Linked DNA regions of Saccharomyces cerevisiae S288C. Changing the gene in region 2 together with the main gene of any one other region gives a genetic interaction. Each region holds a gene or a part of one and is shown on either strand. Other genes may lie near its edges. The genes, in order: CHL1, RTS1, MIH1 and CIK1.

What was found.
Region 1: mutations in RTS1 (region 2) and CHL1 together harm fitness more than expected from each alone (negative genetic interaction), as found in Saccharomyces cerevisiae (5 studies listed by BioGRID, with this or other methods).
Region 3: mutations in RTS1 (region 2) and MIH1 together harm fitness more than expected from each alone (negative genetic interaction), as found in Saccharomyces cerevisiae (4 studies listed by BioGRID, with this or other methods).
Region 4: mutations in RTS1 (region 2) and CIK1 together harm fitness more than expected from each alone (negative genetic interaction), as found in Saccharomyces cerevisiae (4 studies listed by BioGRID, with this or other methods).

Annotation. Positions count from the first base shown.
Region 1 is NC_001148.4:537,709-542,470, reverse strand, and holds CHL1 (DNA helicase), read right to left. Parts: upstream 3,087-4,762; coding exon 501-3,086; downstream 1-500. Other genes in the region: transcription factor TFIIIC subunit TFC8, read left to right, coding at 1-389; RQC2 (Rqc2p), read left to right, coding at 3,535-4,762.
Region 2 is NC_001147.6:356,013-360,485, reverse strand, and holds RTS1 (protein phosphatase 2A regulatory subunit RTS1), read right to left. Parts: upstream 2,813-4,473; coding exon 539-2,812; downstream 1-538. Other genes in the region: ERP4 (Erp4p), read left to right, coding at 1-25; YOR015W (uncharacterized protein), read right to left, coding at 134-493; YOR012W (uncharacterized protein), read right to left, coding at 3,530-3,943. UniProt on the Saccharomyces cerevisiae protein: The B regulatory subunit might modulate substrate selectivity and catalytic activity, and might also direct the localization of the catalytic enzyme to a particular subcellular compartment. Multicopy suppressor of ROX3 and HSP60.
Region 3 is NC_001145.3:341,321-345,244, reverse strand, and holds MIH1 (putative tyrosine protein phosphatase MIH1), read left to right. Parts: upstream 1-1,724; coding exon 1,725-3,389; downstream 3,390-3,924. Other genes in the region: stress-responsive transcriptional activator MSN2, read left to right, coding at 1-842; IMP2 (endopeptidase catalytic subunit), read right to left, coding at 3,570-3,924.
Region 4 is NC_001145.3:657,793-662,051, reverse strand, and holds CIK1 (Cik1p), read right to left. Parts: upstream 2,308-4,259; coding exon 523-2,307; downstream 1-522. Other genes in the region: v-SNARE protein VTI1, read left to right, coding at 2,854-3,507; YMR196W (uncharacterized protein), read right to left, coding at 3,710-4,259. UniProt on the Saccharomyces cerevisiae protein: Together with the minus end-directed microtubule motor KAR3, involved in spindle midzone assembly, karyogamy (nuclear fusion) during mating, and with an essential function in meiosis I.

The DNA.
Region 1 (4,762 bases), on a different chromosome or scaffold from region 2:
AATACGCTATAAACAAAAAATCCGAATTAACGAATAGTTTTGATTTAGCTTGCGTATTATCTATAGCGGCAATACTTAAAAGAGAAGCGCCAATTTACAACGGCACGTTATTGATGAAGAACAGCTTTCTCGAGGAAACGTTCAATTTAGAAAGCTTCACGGCTGACCCTGAAACTGTAACATCCACCACGAATAACACGTGGAAGAGGTGTGGTGTCACTTTGCTTCCAATACTTACAACGCATGTAAAGATATGTCCCGTGAGCAAACAACGGGTAATAGACATAAAACGAGATGATTTGAATGATTATGGTTGGTTTACAAGGGGTCTATTAGAAAGATTTAATGAAATAAGCGTATATTGTGGAACAACGCTGGAAGTTATGTAAGGATACAAGAGACAAAGAATTACTTGCAGATATAAAAAGTAGTCATAAATATCAGTTTAGTTTACTATAATATATAGTAGTAATCACAGTATACACGTAAACGTATTCCTTTTAGCGTGAATTCAGGCTGCGCATTGAAAAAAACTTCCGTGTTGAAGAAATGACCTGATGTGTTGTATGTTCGGAATTGATAGAATCTTGCACCCAACGTGACAATTTTTTCCGGAAATTGGGCCTATTATATCGCACATCGAGCAAGTAAATGTTTGCGTAATCATTTGCATGCCGTATAGCACGTCCAACACTTTGGTTGACAGCTTTCATACAAATATTCTCCATAAACTCCTTTGTTGCTCGTGAAGCTTCCTCTTCCGTTCCGCCTGACTTCATTATTTTAGCGGCCAAATGCTTCCTTTTAACTATTAGTTCTCCACTAAAAATATTTGGGAACGGCAGGCCCACCATCACCACAGCCCTACATAAATCATCTTGAAAATTTATTCCCTCTGATAATTTTCCCCCAACAATAGCCAGCAAAAGAGACCCCCTTCCCTCTGCTACCGAATCAGAATATCCAGATAGAATATCATCGCCGTCTTTTGCTTCATAGAATATTTTCCTCACGTTATTTAATGTAGCAAACCTGTCATTCTGTTTCCAGCACTGAATTACATGCGCCAAATACTGATAGCTTGGAAAAAAAGCTACAATACCACCCTTTTTAGGAACTGCTTTGCTCAGATCAACAAAAAATTGAAAAAGATGATTATTTACAAGGGAGGGAGACATTCTTTTTTCGAATGTGAACTCAAGCTCAGGCTGGTTTGTGATATAAGTTTGCAAATTCTCTTTCGGTATAACATGATTGCACGACAAGGTCGTAATGTCTTCAGAAGGAACTTCAGGTAGCAAATTCGACAAAAACTCTGACATGGGTTCCATTGTCCCACCTGCAAGGACTACACATTTTGCTTGATTTAGTATTGACTCAAAAGGTTTACTTGGTTCTAGAAGCATGTACTTTATTGAATAATTTTTCTCAAAAAAAAATTGTCCTTCTGACGTCAAATTTGTCAAACAATATAGGAATTGAGAAACCTTGAAAAGTAATGGCTGAGAAGAAACTGATTTTTTATGCGTTTCTTTTATTGGATTTTCATTTTTTGACGATTCTTCCTCTTTTAGTGCCTGGTTATACGTGTCAATTTTGTAAGCAATTTTGGAGACTTTTATATATCTCAATAGTTTATGAATGTTTAGGGTATCGATGTTACTTCCTGTGAACATATCGTTAGGATCTATTTCTTGTCCTATCTTCTTGAAATTTTTAACTATAAATTGAATCAGAGTCATCAAAAGTGAATTGAGCTTTAATAGATTTACTCTGTTACCGGGATTGAGCCTGGACTTAAATTTGTTGAAATAAGTTACTATCCCCTTATGGCAATTCTTTAAGTCCTCCAACGAGATCTGAGAGGAATATATAGAATTTATTGTTTCTATCAAATTATGAGCCTCATCAATAATTACTATAGAATTTTCAAGGTTTATTTGAAGACTTGAACGGGTGGACTCAGAAAGTAAGTATTGATATGGCAAAGTCACTACCTCCGCAATAGGAAGTGCCTCCCTCGAGGCGTAATAGGGACAAATTCCCAAAGATTTTCCCAGGGGAACTAAATCTTCAATATCTTGAATTTCTGAAAAAATCATATCTCTGAGAGCTAACGTATCAGGACAATGACGCCATTCGTTTGTATTTTGATAAAAGATACATCCCTCTTTACTATGTCTAAGGTCCGCACATGCGTCATTAATAGCTTCCAATGTTTTCCACTTCATCACTTTTGGATTAATACAAAGCTGCTTTTTCGAAGCAAGTGGTAAGTACTTCACCTTTTCATCTGGGACCTTATCCCTAAAGGATGATGGGAACGAGGGTAATCTTAACTGAGAAGTAAATTGACCTAATTGTGAATAAGTTCTGGATGCATAATATATTTTCACTGGATTTTGATTTGTAACGTCAAAGCGATCGCCATTGTTTGGATCTCTCGAAACCTTCCCATCAATTTTGTCTAAAAGTGTTATTATTTGTGAATTTAGTTCACTCAATTTGTAATCTTTATCAGATATTCTTCCTCCTCTTGTGCTTTTGGAGGTATCATTGTTTTCAGAATCTGATTCGTACGGGCGCGGAATAAAATCTTGTTCTTCAAGTGATACATCAAGGTGCCTAGCGCCTTTGCGTTTCTTTCTTAATGGATCAACTGATTTATATCTTCCATGTTCTTTATCTAAATCACACATAGTTTTCAACTGCTTACAACTGGTCGTGTTAATTTCGTTTAAATGCTTCTCATAATCATTTAGCAAATCCACCTTTTCTTGTAAAACAGACTTTCGATAAGTGTCAATAACCCAGTCTGGCTCGTCATCGCTTAGGTTTTCACTATCATCTTCATTCGTTTTGATGTTAGTTTCCATGCGGGTGAAAATATCTGCTTTATTCATTCTCAACCAAGTCATCGTGGCACAGATTAAGGACAGCGTCTTGCCTGTCCCAGTGGGGCTTTCCAGGATAGCTATTTTCTTCCCTTCGGATAGCACTCTGTATACAGTTTCCATTAACTGTACCTGAATATCATAGGGCTTATAAGGATGATAGAAAGTCTCCGAATATTCCTTTTTGTCCATTTTTTGGACTAGTGTGACTGTTTTTAGCCTGGTTTTCTACTCTTTTGGGTTTTAAGGAAACAAACTGAAGTTGCAGTAGTGCCCTCAACTTAGCATGTGCTGATTACACTAATGATGAATTTAAATATGTCAGTGATAATGTCATCAACTGTCAGGTAACAAATGAGCCTCTACCTCAACTCTGTGGTTACGATTAAAATTGGATTTTCAATAAATAGCCTGAGTTTTAACCTTTTCAACAATTGCGACTTCTCTTCCGGACATTAACTAATGCACTATATCTATTGTATATTTGGACGCGTTTGAACTTTTCATTCATGCTGCGGAAGGATAGAAAAATGAAATTTCGCCTGAAAAATAGTTTTAAAAGAATCCGATGGCAAATTGAAAAGAAAGTTGCTACTTATTATCCGGTCTAAGAAGTCAGGCAGGCAAGAGATTAATAGCGATGAAGCAAAGAATTAGTGCCCTAGATTTACTGCTGTTGGCTAGAGAGCTGAAACAGGATTTGGAAGGCTACCGATTGAGTAATATATATAACATTGCCGATTCCTCAAAACAATTTTTGCTGAAATTTAATAAACCAGATTCTAAACTCAATGTTGTTGTCGATTGTGGCTTAAGAATTTACTTAACTGAATTTAGTAGGCCAATACCTCCAACTCCTTCCGGCTTTGTTGTCAAACTAAGGAAGCATCTTAAAGCTAAACGGTTAACAGCTTTAAAGCAAGTAGACCAGGATAGAATTCTTGTTCTACAATTTGCTGATGGCCACTTCTATTTAGTTTTGGAATTTTTCAGTGCAGGGAATGTCATTCTTCTAGATGAGAACAGAAGAATTATGGCTTTGCAAAGAGTCGTTCTAGAGCATGAAAATAAGGTCGGACAAATTTATGAAATGTTTGACGAATCACTTTTTACCACAAATAACGAGTCTGCTGATGAATCCATAGAAAAAAACAGAAAGGCAGAATACACCTCTGAACTAGTCAACGAGTGGATAAAAGCAGTTCAAGCCAAGTATGAATCAGACATTACTGTTATTAAGCAACTTAACATTCAAGGGAAGGAGGGCGCTAAAAAAAAAAAAGTGAAAGTACCTTCCATCCATAAACTGCTGCTTTCGAAAGTCCCTCATTTGTCTTCAGATTTATTATCAAAGAACCTTAAGGTATTCAATATCGACCCTTCAGAGTCTTGTTTAAATCTTTTGGAGGAAACAGACTCACTCGCCGAATTGCTAAACAGTACTCAGTTAGAATATAATCAACTTTTAACTACCACCGATAGAAAGGGTTACATTTTGGCCAAAAGAAATGAAAATTATATCTCTGAAAAAGATACTGCCGATTTGGAATTTATTTATGATACATTCCATCCCTTTAAGCCATATATAAATGGGGGAGACACTGACTCTTCTTGTATCATTGAAGTTGAAGGTCCTTACAATAGGACGCTAGACAAATTTTTCTCAACAATAGAATCCTCTAAGTATGCTCTACGTATACAAAATCAGGAATCGCAAGCGCAAAAGAAAATCGATGATGCTCGTGCCGAAAATGATAGAAAAATACAAGCTTTATTAGACGTCCAAGAACTAAATGAAAGGAAAGGCCATCTCATAATTGAAAATGCACCCTTAATAGAGGAAGTTAAGCTTGCTGTTCAGGGTCTAA
Region 2 (4,473 bases):
CAGTCGCCAAAAAAACTACGTATAGGTTGCTTTTCAAGCTCTTAAAATTGTTGGATCAGCTGTGCTAAGGGGAAGGCACTTTTTTGTATCATGATCCTATTTTTTTTGTTATTTAATTATTTATGACATACCTTTATACTTTAGTTTTCAAAAATCCAATAATAGATAGGCAAGGTTTACGGAAAAGAGTGGAGTGCAAAATAAATAGAGGAAAGGCAGAAGGAAGAAGGAAAGCGAAAAGAAAAACGAAGATATATTTGGAGAAAAGTATAGAAATAATAAAATGAAGACACATCGATTGAAGTATGCTCAAATGATGAGAAAAAGAGACCTTTATCTCAGGCCACAAACAACCATTGTCCAAGTGGCTTATCTTTGCTATAGTTTTGTTCGAATATTCGGGGATTCTATCTTTGGTTTCTTCAACAAGTTGACCCCATTTACCAGTTCTTTTTTGCTCTTCATATACTGCTGCTCTTTTGAAATGTGGCATGCCCTAAACTTCCTCACTTCTTCGAGCTTGTAATGAATTGCTGTTTCACTGTATCTCGCTGTCACAATCATTTTCGTTCTCTTCATTTAATGTGTTATTCTCACTTGCTGTGTTGAAACTGTTTCTTAATTCTGGGTTTTTGATTGTGTATTGGTCCTTATCATTGTTAATCCTTAGATTTTTTACATATTCTTCAAGTTTGCTCCAATTTTCTTCACGTTGCACCTTACGCTGTTGAGTTTCTTTTACACTTGATAAGTACAATGCATTACAGTTTTCGTACAATACTGGGTTTGTTTCCAGAAAAATTTTCAATGCCTTGAATGCCATAGCATGAATTGCCCTATTCCACGAACCAGAATTGATTGCTTGCTCAACAAGCATGTAAGGGTCTGAAATGCTATCTTCGCCATTTGCTGTATCTAGCTCTAACTGAGAAGTTAATTCATATAATGCAGGAAATATAATGGGTAGGATGACTTCGGCATTTTCGATACATAAGTTTAAGAAATATTCATTATTCCAATAACTTAAAACCTTTTCCGCCACTTGGAAATGTGGAGAAGAAATACACTTAGCTAATTGAACAAATAACGGAACTTCTACTTTAATAAATTCCAGCGGTTCGATCACTTCAAAAATATCCTCGATTTCATTTAGAAACATTATCTCTTTTGTGGAATTTATTTTTGGCCAATAACGCAGTAAGCCCATAACTACCTCTTCGGTTAATAAAGGATCTTTTTCGAGAAATTGAACGATACAGTAAGCCAACTGAGGGTGGTATAATGATAAACAACGGACCTTGTGTAATGGTATCAATATCCTCACCAAGAAAACCTTGTGCTCTTCCTTTAATGGAAGTGCAAATCCATTAATTATGGAACCCAAAATTTCTAACAATTCTGCCACACCGTTAAACTTCTCAGTCTCATAAATAAATTGCAAAAAAATATTATTCATCGACCGACGAATAAAGCTTCTTAATGATAAGAACTTCCCATATATTCTATGCAGTGTCGTTTTCAAACAGTCTCTTTCTCTGATATCTTCGCTATCAAATAATTCCAGTAACTTTAAAATAAAGTCCTGATCAATATATTGTTTAGCAATCTGATGATTGAAATCAGGACTTTCCACAAACCTTAAAAAGAATTCGTAAACAGCTTGCATATGAGGCCAGGCTAGTTCGTTAACAGGTTCATCTTCATCTGGGTCATAAATGTCACCAACTGGATTTACTGGTGGTGGAATAGGTCTAAACAGATTGATTTTGAACATGTTCACCACATGAGCGTACATCTCATTCGTGTAAGTGAACCTATTTGTTACAAGGAATTCTATTAGCTCATCTAAGGTGCTTCTTTTAATCTCTTTACCTTGAATGTCAAAACTTGGATCATTAAAGTCAAACATAGTGTTACACTGGTCAACTTTGGCAATGAACAAAGGGATTCTTTCTTCAGGAGAAACTTCATTAAAATTTGGCAATTTCGTTAATGGCGTATATCTAGATGGCTCGAATCTAGATGAAGAATGACGTTGGGGAGTCTTAATTAACTCTAAATCTGTGTCAGGGTTAAGTTTTGTGGGTGTTGGTAGTCTCTCAAATGAGTGTGATGATCTCGGAATGTCGATACTTTGTGAGGAGGCGTGGTTTGCATCCTGAGTATTACTAGTATTAATATTCATATTGTTATTATTACTATTACCATTTTCTACATCAGAAGAAACTGCTGTACCTGAAGCATTTGAAATGGGAGATGATGGAACAGCGGATACTGCCCCCAGCAAAGTAGGATGTGCATGATCTTCACCAGAAGTGCTTTTGTCGTCCTTAGTAACAGTGAGTACTGGAGTGGGGTTCATTATAGCGGCAGATGATGAAGAAGATCCTTGCTTTTGAGATTGTGATGGCTGTTGCGATTGTTTGGACTGTTCTTGTCCTTTTCTTGAACTTGTTTTCTTTGTGGAGCTTGAACCGGAGCGACTGACACTTGAACTTCTACTGCTACTGCTGCTGGAAGAAGGGGTCGTCGCTGTTTTTGTTTTTGATGTAGAGCTACTATGATGCTTCCCTTGCGAGGGAACACTACCAGATTGCTTGCCCTTCTCAGTTGTAGACTTTGATCCGGTACTGCTGGCAGAACTGTGAGTAGTCCCGTGGGAAGAGCTACTAGCCGAAGCGGGCTTCTTTGATGTGGATGAGGTAGTGGAACTTTTTTCTTTTTCCTTCTCTTTGTCCTTCTTTTTACTGCTTGAAGAAGAAGAAGACCCGGTGGTCTTCTTTATTAATCTTTGCTTGAAACCACGCATCATATTGAAAGTGGATGTTCGAAAATAGCACGTGCCTATTGATCTTAATAAGTAGAACTTTTATACAAAATAAAAAAGCCAGTTAAAGACGGTATTGAGGTGAACAGGTATATGGAGAAGGGTTTATATTTTTATCTAACAAAAAAAGGAAAAAAAAGCAAAATCGAGGGGGGAAGGAAATGAAACCCAAAATACTTACGGCGACGATGGTTTATCCTTGAAATGAAGAGTTTTCCAATGAAGAAACGAGACGTATTGACATGCCTACCAATTGAAGTGGAAAACAAAGCGTAGTTTCACATACTCTTTGATAATCAATTGTCTGATACTTTTTTTTTTCCTTTCTCGCAGCCGGGATAGGGGGTTGTGACCCGGCAAAAAATGTTGGTCTAAGTTTTATTGTTGCTATATGCTCCATACATACAATAAATGTCTATAAAATTTTTAGAAGAAAATCAGGCGTGAAAGATGGTGTCTGCATCTTTGTGGTAGAGCATCAAGTAGGCCGTGAATCCCTTCCCCTGCGGATCGGGTTCTCCTTTGGAGTTCACTTCTCCAACCCCGAACTGAAACACCAAATAGGTTTTGAAACCGAAATATTCGTACACAGATCTTGCGTGCTCCGAAATAGCCTCGAGAGCAAGGGCGCAATTGGCCTTGTCTGCTTTGGTTTTATATTTTTCGAGTATTTTTCTGACTGAACCTCTAATTTCGGGATGGCTAGGATCTTTTCCGATGGCATAAAGGTAGTAATAGTCCATTCCCAGAGGCATGACTTCGTGCTTCCTCACAGTCAAGTCGTGAAAAAAAAATCTTATTGAAAGACTCGTCGTCAGATAGTGTAGCAGGCAAGTGGCACCCAGGGCGGCTCCATATTGCGACTGCATCGAAATCATTTGCCTCAGCAATTTCACCATCCAAGTCATGGTAGCACGTCGTGTAGTAATGTATCATTGCATTTATTCTTGCCCTTGAAACTTTTTCAGTGATTGGGATATGGAAGAACTTTTTCATCAAGTAGTCATTTGCGTATGACTTTTCGAATGCCTTAAACAAAGTTTTCGAAGCCTTCTCTACATCGCTTGTCAAGTTTACCGCCAAAGAGGATTCTTCATTGATCGATGATGCTACCATTATCAAAACTATTGATTTGTTTTCAACGTTCTGATTAGTATTTTTGTCACTGCCTTTTTCTATTGTTTCTTTTTTTGCATTTCTTATAGTAACATAAAAAACACAGGAAAAAAAACGTCGTTTATTATATCAGGAGTAAAGGATTTCTGCCCAAAATGTCAGGAAAATTACGATATAAAACGTACTATAAGATAACAAGCGGCTGAATAATTTCTGAGGTCAGAACCATAAGGGTACTGAAATACTATGTGCTAGATTTTTTATTTATTTTCTTTTTCTGATTGATTATCGTTTGGTTAAAATCAGTATGATATTATATATGACTTGCTTTATAATATATCAAACCGACATAAAAAATTATCCTACTCAAAAAAGATCATGGTTGTCCCCGCGTTTCACTTCTGTTATACCATGCAAATTTTTATATCAAATGAGTAATTCTTTCATTTCTTTCGGGACCCTTTACGAAGTAGTTGTTATATCTCCACTGGCAAGGCCACGAACTGACAAAAAAGGCATGATATAAATTG
Region 3 (3,924 bases), on a different chromosome or scaffold from region 2:
TCACCTCGTCACATAATAACAGTAGCACTAACATGAAATCCTTCAACAGCGATCTTTATTCAAGAAGGCAAAGAGCTTCTTTACCCATAATCGATGATTCACTAAGCTACGACCTGGTTAATAAGCAGGATGAAGACCCCAAGAACGATATGCTGCCGAATTCAAATTTGAGTTCATCTCAACAATTTATCAAACCGTCTATGATTCTTTCAGACAATGCGTCCGTTATTGCGAAAGTGGCGACTACAGGCTTGAGTAATGATATGCCATTTTTGACAGAGGAAGGTGAACAAAATGCTAATTCTACTCCAAATTTCGATCTTTCCATCACTCAAATGAATATGGCTCCATTATCGCCTGCATCATCATCCTCCACGTCTCTTGCAACAAATCATTTCTATCACCATTTCCCACAGCAGGGTCACCATACCATGAACTCTAAAATCGGTTCTTCCCTTCGGAGGCGGAAGTCTGCTGTGCCTTTGATGGGTACGGTGCCGCTTACAAATCAACAAAATAATATAAGCAGTAGTAGTGTCAACTCAACTGGCAATGGTGCTGGGGTTACGAAGGAAAGAAGGCCAAGTTACAGGAGAAAATCAATGACACCGTCCAGAAGATCAAGTGTCGTAATAGAATCAACAAAGGAACTCGAGGAGAAACCGTTCCACTGTCACATTTGTCCCAAGAGCTTTAAGCGCAGCGAACATTTGAAAAGGCATGTGAGATCTGTTCACTCTAACGAACGACCATTTGCTTGTCACATATGCGATAAGAAATTTAGTAGAAGCGATAATTTGTCGCAACACATCAAGACTCATAAAAAACATGGAGACATTTAATAGACCCCATTTTTTTAATTCGATAGATCTTTCTTCATAAGATAATTCTGTTCAATGACTTATGAAGCTTACGGCTTATTGTTATTATTATCATGATTCTTTGCCATTTTTCCGGTACCTTCACATTTTGAAGGAATTCAGTTCCCCCGCCTGTAACAACTTAGATACACGTAGATAAAAATTAATATAGCCAAAATATTTGGTATGATAGGGTATAGTATAATATAATTAATACAATATAATATAATATAGTACAGTACAGTATAATATTGTATAATATCATATGGCACCGTAATATCATATATATATCCGTACAGTTTAATGAATTCCGTGCGCATTATGCTGTGCAATATGCCTGTCAGTTTGAAAATCGAAGATACCACATCGTACAAAAGCAAGAGGGGTGCCCCTAATGGGAGAAGATTACCGTTTTTATTTTGGGGTAGCTAACTGCGCCACAAATAGTATCTACCAGTTTGCTACTTTTAGAACTGTATTATGTATCTTTGCCGAATACTTAATTTCCTAGGCCTCATTTTCAGGACTAAGGATGAAGAGGGGCTTCAATGTTTTATATGGCGCTTTTTCTGTCCATTGTATACGTCAAAAAAGCATAGATACTCCACTTATTAGCGGTAAAGCCCTTTTTGATACATTGTTCCGGCGTTTAAATATTCTCATTATGATATTTCCCCAACAGTTACACTCTGTTATTTCCTTCTTTTTTATGCTTTATCTGTTTTTTCCCTGTTTCGATGCCGTATATCAGAAAACTTAAAGTTACAAGCGAAAACAAAGAAAAGAGAGTTAACTTGAAAGGAGACAAAAGATAAACAGAGCAGTGGACAAACCAGGATTGAAGTCAGCGAGGGTGAAGAAACCATGAACAATATATTTCATGGAACTGAAGATGAATGTGCCAATGAAGACGTTCTTAGTTTCCAAAAAATTTCCTTGAAAAGTCCCTTTGGTAAGAAGAAGAACATATTTAGAAATGTTCAGACCTTCTTTAAGTCAAAAAGCAAACATTCGAATGTCGACGATGATTTAATCAATAAAGAGAATCTTGCCTTTGATAAATCTCCATTGTTAACAAATCACAGGAGTAAGGAAATTGATGGTCCTTCACCGAATATAAAGCAGCTTGGCCATCGCGATGAGTTAGATGAAAATGAAAATGAAAATGATGATATAGTCTTAAGCATGCATTTTGCTTCTCAAACCTTACAAAGTCCAACAAGAAACTCATCAAGAAGATCTTTGACCAATAATAGGGATAATGATCTTTTAAGTAGAATCAAGTATCCTGGCAGTCCCCAGAGGTCGAGCTCTTTTTCAAGGTCAAGGTCCTTGTCGAGAAAGCCAAGCATGAATAGCAGTAGCAATTCAAGCAGGAGGGTGCAACGGCAAGATGGGAAAATTCCGAGGTCATCGAGAAAAAGTTCACAGAAATTTTCTAACATTACTCAGAATACTTTGAACTTCACGTCTGCGTCATCCAGTCCACTAGCTCCTAATTCGGTAGGGGTGAAATGTTTTGAATCATGCCTAGCCAAAACACAGATACCATATTATTATGACGATCGTAACTCAAATGACTTTTTCCCTCGAATTTCTCCAGAAACGTTGAAAAATATTCTGCAGAATAATATGTGCGAGTCATTTTATAATTCATGTCGTATTATAGATTGTCGGTTTGAATACGAATATACTGGCGGCCACATAATAAACTCCGTTAACATACACTCGAGAGATGAGTTAGAGTACGAATTTATCCATAAAGTTTTGCATAGCGATACTAGCAACAACAACACTCTACCAACTCTTTTAATTATCCATTGCGAATTTAGTTCCCACCGGGGACCTTCATTGGCCTCTCATTTGAGAAATTGTGATCGTATAATAAATCAGGATCATTATCCCAAATTATTCTATCCCGACATATTGATATTGGATGGCGGATACAAAGCTGTTTTTGACAATTTTCCTGAACTATGTTATCCACGTCAGTACGTGGGAATGAACTCACAAGAAAATTTGCTGAATTGTGAACAAGAAATGGATAAGTTTAGGAGAGAATCTAAAAGATTTGCTACTAAAAATAATTCTTTTAGAAAACTAGCTTCCCCTTCAAATCCTAACTTCTTTTATAGAGATAGCCATCAATCTTCAACAACAATGGCATCTTCTGCACTATCGTTCAGGTTTGAGCCGCCTCCGAAGCTGTCATTAAACCACAGAAGAGTCTCTAGTGGTTCATCATTAAATTCAAGTGAGAGTACAGGCGACGAAAATTTCTTCCCCATCTTAAGTAAGTCGTCTATGAGTAGTAACAGTAACCTAAGCACTTCACATATGCTACTAATGGACGGACTGGATACCCCATCATATTTTAGTTTCGAAGATGAGAGAGGCAATCATCAGCAAGTAAGTGGAGATGAAGAGCAAGACGGAGATTTTACTTTCGTTGGTTCCGACCGAGAAGATTTACCCAGGCCCGCAAGAAGATCGTTATTCCCTTCTCTAGAGACTGAAGATAAAAAATGATACTACATGTGCATGAAGTATTATGAAAAAAAGAAGTATATATTCAGGAACCGAACGGCAACAACATCAATACATAAATCACAATCATCTATATTTATTGCATTAGATTAATCACATAATATAAAAAATTTGCATTTGAATACCGGGGTCACTTCTAAATTCATAAAAATAAGCTGATTTTCATTCTAAAATGGCTCTTTTGCTAATGCAGTCTCTACCGGTACTCAGTTTGAGATCCGTTCCCCACCTGGAGGGTGGCCAAACAATTGTTATAGCTTTCCCTATGACCAACCCACTGGAAATGGGGCCAAAAGTATTGCTATCAATCGAATGAAAATAATTGTCCCCTTCGACCCATATGTGTCCCCTGGGCAGGTTCACTTGAGGTTTAGGGTATGGAAACTTCGTGTCAATGGTATCAAACGGTAAACCTTTAACCCTTTTGCAGTAAACTTTCCGAGGGTTTGTAGGAGCTTTGAAAAGGATAATGTCATCTCTAGATAAATTACTTGGGTTCTTGACTCCAAACTTCCAA
Region 4 (4,259 bases), on a different chromosome or scaffold from region 2:
TTCCTTGAACGCGTCTCTTGCAGGCTGAACAAAGAAGTCGCTAGTGGATCGTCACAGAATGAACACGCCCACGAGCGGGATCTGGCTCGAGTTGTCATGAATACTGAAAGTATCAGGCGCGGGGTTGTAGTAGGTAAAGAATTTCTCCAAGAGGTTGTAGGAATGGACTTGTTTACCCCTTTACGCGCGGTGTTTTCGTGGCTTTACCGCATTGGGGTATGTCCCAGAAGAGAGTGTGCGCTATTCGATTTCCTATCAGTGAAGTGTTGCGAACAAGGGAATGCTGTCGAATTAGGAAAACAAAAGTTTATTCATGCAAATTTTGTGGCACGCTACCCTAAGTTCTCGATGATGTTTGGCTGCGTTTAAGTGAGTAATTTACATCCGCCTGTTAGTCCCGTAACATTCTCTTTTATTTTGCTAGGATAATTAGGTTGATGCCACGCACGACAATGTAGCTACGTAAGTTTTTTATGTAAGGGAACGAGACGAAGTGATTGTAGCGCACAAGATCTGGCCTTCTTAATCTAGCTGAGGTAATGTTATTGTTCTTTTCAGCTTTCCCGCTAAGGCTAGAGCCTTCTCGATGTTTTCACCAGCGTTAATCTTGAAGACAAAGCACTGCTTTGTTTTAGTGAGAATATGCGAAAGGACTGAGGGAGCATCATCAAGCTCTCTATTCAGCTGTACCGTGGACATACTACCGATATATATATTCATTGAATGGGACTCTTCATCTTTTCCCAACTTGGTATCTAAAGTTAAAATGTTCATGCATTCTTCATCTTGTGACAGATCTCTAATTTCTGTTGGGTTATCTAATCCAACGTCACTGTGTTTAATACTTCCGTCAAGATGCAAAATGTTCAATGTCATCTTATAATTCTCACCGTACTGCTCAATTAACTGTTTTAGCAAAGTCTTTTTCATTGGTGCTGTGGGTTGCTGCGAAACCACTATAATGCTGCAGTTAATTAACTTGCTGATGTATTTTTCCAGGAACGGAATGCATTCGTTATATAAGCGTTTGTGATCCTTATGGATTTCTTCGAGAACTACTCTATCAAATACTTGTACCCGTTTTTCTCCACTATTCTCGCAAATGCACCGATCCACATAGTTGATATGGAATTCATCAGGCATTTGTCGTTCATTGGCATACGCAAAGCATCGGGTGTATCCTTTGATTTCTTCAATTGAAGTGGCCAGATTTTGTCGTGTGTATAATTCCTGTTGAACCTTTTCTAGTTCATTAACGTACTTCTTCTTCCAATTGTTTGCTTCTCCTTCGACTTGCTTCTTCTCCTCCTGCACTTGCGTCAATGCTTGTGATGTAGAAGCAAGCTTCTTTTTGAGAGGAACAACGGCAAGTTCCATGCTATGGAAGTTCACTTCTGCCTCTCCAATCCTTTTTTCAAAATCGTTAAACTCATCTCTACACGTCTTAATATTTTCTTTCAGTTCACCATGGGTGTCTTGTAGGTCTTTTAAAACTTTCGAAAGTCTTTCTTGCTCCCCATCTAATTCAATTCTAGCATCGTTCTTAACTTTCTTGAATATCTCGAATTTCTTGTCCAATTCTTTTTTGTAGTTTTTACACTCGTTCTCATTTTCATTCTGTAGAATGAATAGTTTCCTATTGACCTCCTCGAATTCTGTTTTAAGCTGTCGCATTTCGTCAGTTAACCTTTCGTCAGGTTTCAAATTTTCTACTTCCATTAATTTATACGTCCACTCCCTTTTGGCATTCGATAGCTCTTCCTCTAAATCGTTTTCGAACTCTTGTACTTTTACTGCATGCATAGACACTATATTTTTTGATGATAGCTCAACATTCTTTCTTTGAAGATCACATTGATTATCCTTCAAGTCCATCTCCGTTGATAGTCCATCAATCTCATTTTGTAGCTCCCTGCACGCTTTGACTTTTGCATCTAATTCTAATGTTATTGCAGGTAGTTCCCTGGCATGAATACGAACAGATTCCTTTTCAATTTCAGAAATAGCATTCAGTAGTGAATCTATGTCTTTTCTAACCTTACGTTCATTGTTCTTAACCCTTTCAATAATCTTGGGGTCCCCCCCAAAGGTTAGTTTCTTAGTATACGTAGCGGAGGTGTCATCAGTGTAGCAGCGCCGTATACCAGATCCAGAGCTGTGCAATATATTTAGCTTGTTGTTATTAGGAGTTAGTATCATATCCATTTCTCTTTTCTGAACCTTCTGTCGTTTTGTCTTTGGAAAGTCTCGAGTGACGTTGTTTGGATCACTATGAAAGGAAAGTTTAGGAATTTTGGAGTTATTCATCCTAATAATAAAGCTTATGTCAACGAGTTTCAAATGCCAAAACAAATATTAAAATAGTGAATAGCTCTTATATATACACGGTCCAACCCTATGGCACAAAATTCACTTATTTAGGCGCTTAATTATAATGTCGTAGTTGTGTTTCAAAGTTGCTTCAGCCAAACGGAAAAGCCGCCTAAATGTGTCGATCAGTGAATGAGCTCAATAACGTGTGGATATCAAAAAATAATACAGTAAAGCCTTATTCTCGGACGATATGCTCAATGGTCAACGACTGACTAGTTTTATTTTGATACGAGCTACGACAGTGGTATCTTTCATATACTAGAATCATATTAGAGAGTAAATAAGAACAAAAATGGTAAACAAACAAATATCACTATGGACGATATTACTGATCACATGACTGTCTAATTTTCAATGAAAGTTAGGAGTGGAGTAGTCGTGCTATATAGGGCAATTACTATTCTTGGAAAAGTGTAAAGCTTTACATTAAGTTGTATAAAACGAATCAACCGCACTCTTTACATTGCTGCATGGCTTACTATGAGTTCCCTATTAATATCATACGAATCTGACTTCAAAACAACCTTAGAACAAGCCAAAGCGAGCTTAGCAGAGGCCCCCTCACAACCGTTATCACAGAGAAATACTACACTGAAGCACGTAGAACAGCAACAAGATGAGTTGTTTGACCTGCTAGATCAGATGGATGTAGAAGTTAATAACAGCATAGGCGATGCCTCAGAACGTGCTACGTACAAGGCGAAGTTAAGAGAATGGAAGAAGACTATACAGAGCGATATCAAACGACCACTGCAATCCTTAGTAGACTCAGGCGATCGTGATAGACTTTTTGGAGATCTTAACGCATCTAATATTGACGATGACCAAAGGCAACAGTTGTTGAGCAACCATGCAATCTTACAGAAATCGGGAGATAGACTAAAAGATGCCAGTAGAATAGCAAATGAAACTGAAGGAATAGGGTCACAAATAATGATGGATTTAAGGTCACAGAGAGAAACTTTGGAAAATGCAAGACAGACCTTGTTTCAAGCGGATTCATATGTGGATAAAAGTATAAAGACACTAAAAACAATGACTAGAAGGCTAGTTGCTAATAAATTCATAAGCTATGCCATTATCGCAGTCCTTATATTATTGATTTTGCTAGTTTTGTTCTCAAAGTTTAAATAAGGTGGGAAAACAAATTCAATAAAAAACCTCTAGAATCTAAAGAACATGTCAAGGAACTATAGAGTTACCTTCACTAGTAATATCAACGCTACCTTACTGATAAAAAACTACTGCAATTAAATATTCTATAGATCAAAATATAGAGGTATATCGTTGGAAATATTTTTCAAACGTACAGATATTGAAGGTTCACCGCAGTTAATCAAGACACATCCTTATTCAACGGACTCATTGGGTCCATTGGGTCTATATCCTCATCTTTAGCCTTGTCAGTTACTTTCATATTTTTCACCTTATCTTTTAGCTTGCCTATAAGCTTGGTTTCAAAGTTGTGACGATCTTCAGGTACCACAGTTTCGTGAATACCTTCCTCTTCATTCATTTCCTCCATCAAATGTCTAGCCTTGTCACTTGAAATGCTGCTTTGTGGTGTCAACCCAGAATGGGTGCCCCCTATCCTATGATGGCGCTTTTCTTCTTCGGTTAAGTCCAAAATGGTGGCAGTGTAGTTTACCAAAGACTTTGCACTCTTACGTCTTGCCATTCTCTTCATTTTGGGACCTTGCTCAGAGCTCTCTGTTGAAGCGGTCGTTGCCACAGATGATCTTGGCGTACGAGGTAGTCTTACACAGGATATACCTACATCACTTATCCATTTGGCCACAAGAGCAGTCCAACCACATTGGTGTGAAGCGCCAAGCCCTCTTCCAGTATCACCGTCAAAGTATTCAAAAAATGGCACATAATCCCTG